3 linked regions of the Tamandua tetradactyla genome follow. The protein of the gene in region 1 purifies or fractionates together with the protein of each later gene. This does not show direct contact. Links are inferred from orthologs where the notes say so. Each region holds a gene or a part of one and is shown in the gene's direction. Other genes may lie near its edges.

What was found.
Region 2: the proteins of POLR2J (region 1) and RPAP2 purify together in Homo sapiens (affinity purification with mass spectrometry; 5 studies listed by BioGRID and IntAct, with this or other methods). This does not show direct contact. The link is inferred for Tamandua tetradactyla from reciprocal best matches to the Homo sapiens genes POLR2J and RPAP2.
Region 3: the proteins of POLR2J (region 1) and GTF2B purify together in Homo sapiens (affinity purification with mass spectrometry; 3 studies listed by BioGRID and IntAct, with this or other methods). This does not show direct contact. The link is inferred for Tamandua tetradactyla from reciprocal best matches to the Homo sapiens genes POLR2J and GTF2B.

Annotation. Positions count from the first base shown.
Region 1 is NC_135349.1:10,165,595-10,169,343, reverse strand, and holds the start of POLR2J (DNA-directed RNA polymerase II subunit RPB11-a), read left to right. Parts: upstream 1-1,363; 5' UTR 1,364-1,460; coding exon 1,461-1,513; intron 1,514-2,856; exon of another isoform or gene 2,857-2,937; coding exon 2,938-3,027; exon of another isoform or gene 3,028-3,749. UniProt on the Homo sapiens protein: Core component of RNA polymerase II (Pol II), a DNA-dependent RNA polymerase which synthesizes mRNA precursors and many functional non-coding RNAs using the four ribonucleoside triphosphates as substrates.
Region 2 is NC_135337.1:32,018,540-32,022,288, reverse strand, and holds the start of RPAP2 (putative RNA polymerase II subunit B1 CTD phosphatase RPAP2), read left to right. Parts: upstream 1-847; 5' UTR 848-964; coding exon 965-1,037; intron 1,038-1,729; coding exon 1,730-1,775; intron 1,776-2,957; coding exon 2,958-3,014; intron 3,015-3,749.
Region 3 is NC_135337.1:35,876,925-35,880,673, forward strand, and holds the start of GTF2B (transcription initiation factor IIB), read left to right. Parts: upstream 1-1,266; 5' UTR 1,267-1,388; coding exon 1,389-1,405; exon of another isoform or gene 1,406-1,862; intron 1,863-3,749. UniProt on the Homo sapiens protein: General transcription factor that plays a role in transcription initiation by RNA polymerase II (Pol II). Involved in the pre-initiation complex (PIC) formation and Pol II recruitment at promoter DNA.

The DNA of each region.
Region 1 (3,749 bases):
CTAGGCATCCAGCTCAGCGTTAAAATGGGATGTTTAAAATCAATTCCAATTGAAAGAAGAAAAAAAGAAAAGGAGCTGAAAGGAGACCCAATAGAGTCAAAGAGACTTGAGGTACAGTGGCAAATTTCAATAAAACCAACATGTTGAGAAATGAGATATAAAAAGTGCTCTAGTTAATTAGAAATTTGAATCCTGGCTGATAGGATGTTAAAGACTTACTCCTATTTTCTTTTAAGGTGTGGTAGGGTAGTGTGGTTATTGGCTTGTAAGAGTTCTTGTCTTTTAGAAATACTTATGGATAAACGATCTATCTGGGATTTGTATCAGAATAATGCTTACCATGTGCCTTCTCACTTGAGAGAGAAACCCTGAACTTCATCGGCCTTTTTGAACCAAGGTATCTTTCCCTGGAGGCCTTAGATTGGACATTTCTCTAGACTTGCTTTAATTGGGACATTTTCTCAGCCTTAGAACTGTAAACTAGCAACTTATTAAATTCCCCTTTTAAAAAGCCATTCCGTTTCTGGTATATTGCATTCTGGCAGCTAGCAAACTAGAACAGGCCCTTCCAGGGAGCCGGGTAGTGGAAGCTCCAGATTTCCTTGGGGTCCCAGGCTGCTGCCCTGCCCTGGAGAAACAGCTGGGAAGATATCAGGGCTCCAACAGCTAACCTGCAAACCCAGTACCTGTGCTTTCAACAGCCCAGGCAGGACCTTTACAAGCTGTACTCTGCAAAAATACAGCGAATCCCAGCAGGGTAGATACACTTACCCAACCCGCGCTGCTCTCCCGCGCCCATGTCCACCTGCCTCCTGCCCAAACCGTCTCTGCCAACATAACGCTCACTGGGCCATCAGCCCAAACATTGGCAGCCAGTGCCGGCTGGGCCAGGGGGCTTGCAGCAGCCGGCCCGAGCAGCCTCGGCAGCGGGTTTATCCGCACACCACCGCCGGGCTGACGGGATGCAGCCCAGGAGGCCCCTTCAGCGCTGCACGGCTGCCGCCACTCCAGGGGCCACTACCCTATGGCTTGGTTCTCCTGCTCCATACTCTAAGGGAGCATTTTCAAAGAGAGATCAAAGGGCATGGGGAACCCAGAGAGGCCCAATTCGGGGGGCGGGTGGTCCCAGCTCAGTCCGGACGAGGCTGTCTCTAGTTCCAGCGCTCTCCTCAGCCTCGCAGCAAGCAACACACTCCCCCGCAGGGAAGCGGACATAGTGCACCTTCCAGATTTACGCATGCGCAGAGCCACCGGCCGCCCTCCCTCCTGCGGGCCTCCCTCGCTCCTGGGCACGGACCTCCAGCCGCCAGGGGGCAGTGGAGCCTAGCCTAGTCCTTACGCGGGTCTGGCACCGGCGACGTAACCCGGAAGCAGACGCGGAACCGGAAGAGGTCGCGTCGTAGCGCTGTGGAGGCGGACGTAGCTGCCGCTGCGAGTCTGGCAGCGGTCCCGGCGTTAGGATGAACGCCCCTCCAGCCTTCGAGTCGTTCCTGCTCTTCGAAGGCGAGAAGAAGTAAGTGGAGCGGGCCGGGTGCGGAGTTTGGGGAGGCAGGGACAAGGCCGAGGTTCGCGGACCCCTGGACCAGATCCTGCGGAACTGGGGGTTCCCCTGCGCGGCGCTTTTTCTGGAGGGTCTGCCAAGCCAAGCGCTTTGCGCCTGTATAGGTCAAACTTGAGGCAGTGGGGAGTACCCGTTTTGCAGAGTTCACTGAGGCTCAGAGTAGTTGAATTACCCGCCCCGGACACATAGCAAGTGGCGGGGTCTGTAGACGAACCCAGAAGGCTTGACACCCCCAGTCCTTTTCCTCAGGGATCTGACAGCCTCCTCCCTCGTCTCCCAGTTTGCCATCTCCATCCTCCTTGCTGCTGCCACAGGGATAGGTTTAAAACTAATATCCGATCAGATGGGCGCCTGTGTGAAACCCTTCAGTGACTCCTCGTTGCCTGCAGATTGAGGGAAAATGTAGTTGAGTGGTTATACAGCCTGGGCTTGCCTCCTGGATCCTCCACTGACTGACTGTATTTTTGGAAGAGTGACTTGATTTCTCTGAGGCTCATTTTTCACAGCTGTAAAATGGGCTTTTATTCTAATTAATTGTTGGTATTTCTCTCAGGAAAGAGTAAATGAGGTAATTTGTGTAAATAGCTTAACCTAGAGCTCAGTACATGGAAGACGCTCATTAAATATTGACTCTTCTTACCCTAAAAAAATTAGAAAGAGGGGTGCAAAGGTTGTTTAGTGGTAGCATTCTTGCCTGCCAGGGTTTGACAACTGGGTTTGCACTCCCCCCCGCCCCCCCCCCCCCCCCCCCCCCCCCCCCCCCGGGAAAAAAGATTCAACAAATGGTGCTGCAATAACAGGATAGTCACATGGAAAAAGAATGAAAAGTTACCTCCACCATACAGCATACAAAAGAAAAAGCCTGGTATACAGGATTCTCTAATCCTTGCTGTCACCAGCCACTTCAACTTGGCTTTAGAGCAGAGGTTCTTGACTGTAAGTCATTTTGTGCCCCAGGAGACATTAGGTAATGTTTGGAAACTTTTGAAGTTGTCACATGGGGGGCTGTTACTGGCACTCAGTGGATGGAGGCCAGGGATGCTGCTACAGACCCTACAGTGTACAGGACAGCCCCCTGCAACAAAGAATGGCAGAGTCTGAAGTGTCACGATGCGAGACTGAGAAACCCTGCTGTGGAGAAAAGGAGCGGTTCAGAGTAAGGCAGGGATCCCACAGTCAGGATGTCTATGGGATCAAAATATAGACACAGTGCTGCTCAGGGTCAGCGGGACTTGATGGAATGAACAGACCCAGAAAGCTTCCAGGAAGTGGAGGGACTTAGGCCTGCTTTGATGGGCAGGATTTAGAACTGGCGAGGCGGTCGGGGCAGGAGGAAGGGTCTTGGCCCCTCATTTGTTGCCTCTGTCTCTTCCCAGAATCACCATTAACAAGGACACCAAAGTACCCAATGCCTGTTTGTTTACCATCAACAAAGAAGACCACACACTAGGAAACATAATTAAATCGTAAGTTCCAGGGCAGAGGTGCTCAGGGGCTGTGCTCAGTGGGGCTCTTTGGGCAAGTTTCATAATATTTTCTTAAGTCCCTCACGGTGCTTACTCTGGCATGTCACAGTTCCAGCAACTTTTCTGCAGAATGATGCTGACCTTAATCTGTTGCCATAAGCCACATGACTAATTTAGCTGACTACAGTTGGTGAATGCTTAGCAAGCCCCCAAATTCCACTCTGGAAAGGTAGGAAGTACCTACTGCATTTCAGTGCTGATGAGTTGAGAAGTGATCAAGGTTAGCTCCCTCCACCCCCATTTGTGGTGACCTATGCCATGTCCTACCTGGCATTCAGGGATCATAAGTTTAATAGAATGAGGGAAAGAACTGGGGGAGGTGTCCTGTAGTTATCCAGTGCCTCTGTTGGGTAGCTGGTACTGGTTGGTGGATGTCTGTTTACACCAGTGAGGTCCTGGCCAGGTGGTCAGGGATGTGATTGTCACTCTGACCCAGGTACTTGTCATTTCGCTGCTGATACTTGCTAATTCCTCTGGTCCTGTGGCCTTTCCTGGGCTTGCAGTGTGCGAGGCTGTGGGCAGCAACTCACCCGATCTCTTCTGGTGCCAGGAGTGGAGATGCACTTGTTTTGTCCGGATGACCGGTGTCGAGCCAGTGCTACACCCACGCTCTGCTGGGGCTTGCTGCTCACCTGCTGGATGAGCTGTGTCCAGTCTGTGCG
Region 2 (3,749 bases), on another chromosome or scaffold:
GGTATAGTAGCTAATGACAAACTATGGGATCTGTCCTGTAAACTTGTTGAAGAGTGCTTTGAAAACTATTGCTTTTTTCTTTCTTTGCTTTGTATATACATTATACAATAAAAAAAATTTAAAAAGAAAAACAAAAAAAACCTCCCGTTGCATCTTTTCAGTATTCCAGGACCATCTTAAAGATGAGAAACAAAAACAAAACAACCCTTTAGAGTACTTCCACTGGGCAAGACAAGTAGCAACTATAGCAAGGGTTTTAATAAGACAAATTATTTCTTCACTGAAAATCTTCCAAAAAGTGGAAAACTAACAGTCATTTTTTCCTTTTCTAATGTCCCATTTGTCAAAAATACTGGTGCAACACAACTCACTGAGAAGATTGGAATGCTCCCATCCCAAGTGTGGCTGGGGCATTTCTCTTTAGGACTGCAGTCCCCCAAATTCAGTAATTAAAATCTCTTCATCGCACGGAGACAGAGCAACCGGCGGCCTTCGAGAAAACACTGCTCCGGTCCCGCAGGCCATCTTTTCTCCCGGATGGCAGGCCTGGCCCAAGCCCTGCAATAGGGTGGTCGCCGGGTCCTCACCGTGCCGCGCTCGAGCGCGGATAAAAGCTCAGACTGAGTGCGGAGGCATCCAGGGGAAGCCATTTCTCCCTACCACTATCCGCTGCGGGGTTCGGGCCCCACCGCTTCACGAAGCCTGGCTTGTCCACGGCGCAGGGTCCTGCCTCACAGCCCACCCACTGTCCCCGGCAGCCGGGGACTTCCCGGCGCCTATACTTACCAGTCGGCCCTCTAGCCGTCCGAGCGCCCTCCTTCACCTCCTCCCGCCGCGTAGGCCGCTCGCCGGTCCCGCCCCGGCCGGCTCCGTCTCCCCGCCCCCTCCGGCGCTACGCGAAGGGAGGCGGAGCCTGGCGGAGAGACGCCAGCGCCGGTCTCCGATTTTCAGACGACGTATCCCAATGGCTGACGGGGCCTCGCCGCTACCAGCTGGCCGCAGGGCCCGAGCTTCCGGCACTTCTCGAAAGGCCGCAGGTAAGAACGAAAACCGCTTCCCATGTTTGGACCTTGAGAACAGGGCCCTGACAGTTTCCGACCGACGCGCACGGGGCTTCCCGAACCCAGGGGAGAGGGTCTGCGGGACCGAGAGACGGACAGCTTCCCTTGTTCCTGAGTGTTCCAAGATTTTTCCTACAGGCACACACCAGTGTTCCGGGATTTTTTCCCCTCGTGGGCTTTGGCCCCAGCTGTAGAGGTGCTGGGAGCCTAGCGCTGGCGCTCGCCGGGCTGTGTGCAGCTGGCTTCGGCCCCCAGACCTATCTTCCTGGCAGACGTGCTGCAACTTTCCTACTCGGGTTCCCTGAATTGTGGGAACGTCCCCTCTTCCCCCAGGGAGCGAGCATTTAGAGGATGGAGAGAGAGTTCTCCAGAACTCAGATTTTCAAGAGTGCTTAACTAAGCAACTCTGATACAGTGAAAATTCAATCCCTAAAAAGATAGTTTTAACTAAGAAAAATTAGGGAATAAATTAAGTTTAAAAAAGAACAAAAAAAATTTGGACTACATTCCCATATCTTACAAACAAGATTGGAAATGAAATGTGTAGAAAAATAGGAAAGATAGTCTGGTGTGTTTGAGTTCTGTAAGTACGAGTCTGACCTGTACTTAGTGTGTTTGTGCATACTTGGCCCACTATGTTTGTTTTTTTTTTTTTTTTTTAAATACAGGATCTAAACTGACAAGTGCTTTGAAACAAGAAGATGCTTCTAAAAGGTATGAGAACTACTTGGGCAACTACATTCACTTATCTATATATCTCATATTAATTGACATTTTTTAAAACAGTGAGTGCTCCCATAGAGAAAATTGTTATGAGGAAAGATGCCAGCCTGGGAAACACTGTAAATTCCCACATTCATTATTATATCCCTCTACTCCAGGCTTCAAGAAAACCAAATCTGAAACTTTTACGTTGATGACTGAGATATCAGTGTATGTAGAAAGATGTCTATGAAACATCTTAACCAGGTACTCCTTTTATTGGTACACCAGGGAGTCACTGTCCAAATTTCTCTCCTTATTATTCCAAGAAGCCTTTTCTGTTCTTTTTTTACATCAAGTCTGGATTTTTGTAACAAAGTTGTCATGTACTGTGTCTTGGCTTCTCCTCAAAAACACAAGGGATTATCACCTGTAATAAAAGGTTTCTAGAATAGTAGTAGTCTATGATGATGATGATAAAAATATATATCTATCATTTCTTTCTTTGAGAAGACTCACTAAGTTGTATTGTCTTTTAGGCTTCATTTATTCATTTATTTAAGCATTCATTCATGTTAGGCGCTGCTGTTATGATGTTGAATAAACAGTTCCTAGCTAGTGGAAGAGAGTGATACCAATTAAATGATCACAGATAAATAGATAATTACAAATTGTGTTAAGTGCTATCAAAAGAAAAGACTATGATGTTAGAATGAATGAAGAATGAAAGTCCATTTTAGCCAAAGGTTGGTGGGGAGAGTGGCTGTAGGTTTTTTGAGAAAAAGTTTCTCTGAGGGCGTGATAAGCTGAGATAAAGTTAAACAAAGAAAACACAAGTGAGGAGAGACTTCTAGGCTGAGGTGACAGTATTTCTGAAACCCTGAGATGAGAAAGTGCTTGACCAGTTAAAAAAAAGAGGCAAGATAGCTGGGGTAGTCTGAGCAGAGAAGGAAAGGGGCTAGGAAAAGGGGAGAGAGGCAGGATCCTGTTCATATAGTATCTGGAAGCCATGGTAAGAAATTATATTATTGTTCTAAATGCAAATGAGAAAACTGTGTAACAGAGTGATGTGATTCAAGTTTTTGTGTTTAAAATTTTATTGTGGTAGCATAAATTTTATCTTTAAGAAATGTAAGATTTGCAATTTTAGCTACTTTAAGTGTTCAATTCAATGACATTAATTACATTTTCCAGATTATGCTACAGCACCACTATCTTTTACCAGAATTTTTCATCACCCAAAACAAGAAGGTCTGTACCCATTAAGCAATAATTTCCCCATTCTTACTTGGTGCTCTAGTTTGCTAGCTGCTAGAATGCAACACACCAGAGATGGATTGGCTTTTAATAAAAGGGGATTTATTTCGTTAGTTCTTCAGAGGAAAGGCAGCTAACTTTCATTTGAGGTTCTTTCTTACATGGGACGGCTCAGAATGATCTCTGCTGGCCTTCTCTCCAGGCCTCTGGGTACCAACAACTTTCCCCGGGGTGATTCCTTTCTGCATCTCCAAAGGCCTGGACTGAGCCGCAGTTGCTGAGATGAGGTGTGCTGAGCTGCTTGGGCTGTGCTACGTTGAGCTTTCTCATTTAAGCACCAACCAATTAAGTCAAACATCATTCATTGCAGCAGGCATGCCTAGCCGACTGCAGATGTAATCAGCAACACGTACCATTGGCTCATGGTCACAGCAACAGAGCTAGGTGCCTTCACCTGGCCAAGTTGACAACTGAATCTAACTACCACACTTGGTAAACCACTATTCTGCTTTCTGTCTCTGAAATCATACAATAATTGTCCTTTTGTTTCTGGCTTATTTCACTTGGTATAATATTTTCAAGGTTTGTCCATGTGGTAGCATACATTAGAACTTCATTCTTTTTTATGACTATAATATTTCATTGTATGTATATACCACATTTGGTTTATCCCTTCAGCTGTTGGTGTAAACTTTGGTTGCCTTCATCTTTGGTGGTTGTGAAAAATGG
Region 3 (3,749 bases), on another chromosome or scaffold:
ATCCATTTCCTTGTCTCCCTCTTCTGGGGCTTCAATTTCTCTAGTAGTTTTATCCTTTAACTAACATTTACTGAAAGCTTATCATGAATTCGCTCGGGGCTAGTATATTCGTGATTCTCAAGAGGAAGTCTAGCCACCCTCCTTCCCTTTGTCTCTCTCCTTTTCTCCAGAGCCAAGCTACTCTACCGTGAAAACTCCTTACCGAATTGGAGAACACCTTCAAACCCTTTCCTGGTGGTGCTTGGCTCAGCTGAAATGGATTGACATTTTTAAAACTTTCTCAATCACTATGGAAGAAAAAAACAAAACCTCACGAGTCAGTCATGTTTTTAAATTACAGAATGGAAAACTGGAACAAAAGAAATCATGCTCCCCCATCCCCGTCTAGATTTCAGTTCCTAAACTGCCCCCACCCTACACTTCTTTTTTCCTAAGGAAGTTTCTCCCACCTTCTCAAGAAAACAAGGAGTATTCAGTGGCATTTAAGTCTCATCCCCAAATGAATAAGGCGGTTACTATATTCTAAGTCCTTTTCCCAACAGAAACCACATAGCATCCTCTCTCCTCCAATCACCAGAGGAACCAGGGTGGTGCGTTCCCAGCAAACTGGTATTCAGACTTTAGTTTGGCTAATTAGTAAATATAGGAACCCTCTGTGTTATCTAGAAGGTGTACCAAGTTCTCCATACTTCAGCTATGAGCCAAATTTTTTAAAGACCATGAAAAACGATCAGGGAAGAGTCCATATATCCTCCCCTCATGCTCTGCAGAATGTTCTCACGTGCTTTTGTTTAATGTCCTGCCAACTCTAAAAGGGTATGCAAGGCGGATATTATTACCCCTTGCACTGATGGGGCAAGGGACGTGCCTAAGAAAGCACAGCATGTTAGCCGACAGCACAGCCAGAATGGACAGCCGATCTACGTGAATTTCTCTTTTCACTCCAAATTCCTTTGTGAAAAAGAATCAGCCCTCAAGGCAAGCAAGAAGTTTACTCAAACTGGAGTAACTGACTCCCGAGGAGCGGTTAACCCTCGATGGTATGGGCTTTGTTCTCACAATGACGTCGGGGTTTTCTTCATGTTTTAACATCCGTTGAGGGTAGCTCTGGGGCAGCCGTTTTTCAAGGACGTTTCCCTAGACAGTTTTATTAACTCGCCCATCAACAAAGTACAATTCAGAAACAGAAGAGAACATTTAAAAAGCTCAAAGCACGTGGCGTATGGGAGCTTATATTCTTGGCCTTTCTCCCGACCCGTAGCCGCGCCCAGTTACGACTGCGTAAGTGACTCGCCTATAAAAGCCTGACTCCTCGCGTCTTCTCGCCACAATCTCTTCCTGTTCTCTGTTCGGTTGTTGTTGTTCCTGGAGCCGTGGTGGCCGTGAAGATGGCGTCTACCAGCCGGTTAGTATGTCCGGCCGAGGCCGGCCAGCTAAGGGGCGGGCGGCGAACTCCAGGGATGCGTAGGCGGTCCCCTACGGCAGCGTCGTGCGAAGCGACCTGGGAGATCCGGGGAGACGCGGCGGAACTGGCTGGCGGACCCGGACAAAGGTCCAGACGACAAGACTGTCAGGGGTGTCGCAGGGGGTTCCGGGTTGTCGGCATTACAGTCTCAGCGTCCTGGGTCTTCCCAGACTTTCTTTTGTACGGTCGTTTTCTTAATTCAGGCACTACCTGGTGTGGGCCTGGGTGTTTTCAGCCGCCGGCCCCTCCTCTTGCCTGTATTTCAACCGTTTGTATTTGTTTTTTTTCCTTCTTGTCATTTTTCTCCACGTTTGTTTTTCCACCCAAGGCCCAACCAGCCTAAGTGTCCAGAGAGTCTTTCTTTCCAAAGAGCGGGAAAAGGGTAGTTCCAGGTCTCTCGATCTGACAGTTTGAGAGTTGAGAACGTCAGCTTTGGTAACCGAATGGAAACTGCTTACCATCCCAGCGGCGCTCCGAAGTGGACGACAGGGCATTTTTTAATAGTTAATGAGTTCTCATCCAAAAGATTTCTTTACAGATATCGCCTTCTGGATACTCCTGAAGAAAATCTTGCCTGCAGGCAATTACTTACATTATGCTGGGAAGTCACTCTTTACAGATATTTGTTAAGTGTAATATTCCCGTATCTAGTAAAAATGCATGCAGTGCCCTTGAGAAGCAGCCTTTAATCTTGTGACCTAAAAAATGCATGCAGACCCTAATTATATCTTTCATTACCCCTATGAGGTAAATACTAGTATTTTTGCATAAGTGTAAACTGAGTCATGCCAATGTTGACTTTTTTTAAGGTTAGTGTTAGAACAGCTAGTAGAACCTCAGATACCTGTTTTCTTGTTATCACACATCGGGCATCTAGTTAACTCAAAATGTATTAAGAGTATCAAATTTCTGCAGCACGGTGGAAGGCATTCTTCTTTAATTATTCTGACTATTATTATCTATGGAATTGAGCTCCGAGTAGAAACTATTGCTCAAAAAATAGTAAGCTGAGTGAGTCTAAACCCTTTCTGGTAACTGCCAAGACTTACCATTTTATATTGCGGAATTAAAAAAAAAATTTTAAAAGGAGCAGCTTTAGTTAATAGTCTGTTTAGAAATAACTCTTAAGACTAATGACACACTTGTTTACTGATTCAAATTCAACGATTGAGTGCTCAATCATTCAGTCTGGGTGTGGTTTTGTCGGGTAAGGCCAGAAAACACACTTCCCTTCCTCGTGGGTATATGGAAAACTTTAGTTTCCCAGAGTCAGCCAAATACAACTTATATTTTCATGGTAGTAAATTTTGGGAGTGAATGTCATATTTGGGCCTTGCTTTTGCATAAAATATATTAGAACAAGAAATTTTATTTGTAAAAAGTGTTGCAGTTTTTAAACAGTTTAGATCATTGTAAATTCACTTGATTGATTTTTTGCCTAAACAGTACATTACTTTTGTGTCTTTATTTTCTTAATTTGTTTTTAAAAATCCAAAAATTTGAAATAAATTTTTACTAGATAATCTGCAGCTCTTGAATTTATGTGCTTTTGCACTTAGACATCTCTCAAGTTTTTCTTTTACCAATAAGAACAAAGAAAGGTCACTGTTAATATATTTTCTTTTAGTTTTTTTTTCCCTGAGGATGAAATACAACCTCTGAGTTGTGAAATTGCCTGTAGTTCTCATAGAGAAGAGCACAAATTTAGTTCAGATCTAAGCTTTACTGCTTATTATTTTGATAACTTTGGGTACATAATTCCTGAGCATAATCTAAAATGGTGATGAATGCCTATTTTGCAGGATTGTGAAGATTAGTAATAATATATGTATTGCACTAGACACATAGTAGACACCCCGTAAATGATAATTGTAAAATGAGGTTTAGGATTAACTGACACTTTAGGTAGTCTACACTATTTTAATGTACATGGTGTTGGTGTTCTCCGTTCCTTTCCTAGTGTTTCTGTTCCTTACTTCCTCCACCACTCCCACTAGAGTGTGGTTCCTCTTTTATGTTACTCTTGTGGATAATTTGATTAAAAGTTGACTACTTTAGCATAGTTTCATTTTATTTTGGATAGCTAGCACAAATCCAAAGTAGGAAAGAATATATACTGAGAAGCAGTTTCCCTCCCCTACTACATCCATCCAGTTCTCCAAAACAGCCTTTGTTTCCAACTGCTTGGTGTTTGCCTTGAGATACTGTTCTTTTAAAAACATTTATATATGTTCTTGCCTCCTTTCCACCAGAAAGTGGCCTAATATAACCAGTGTTCATAACC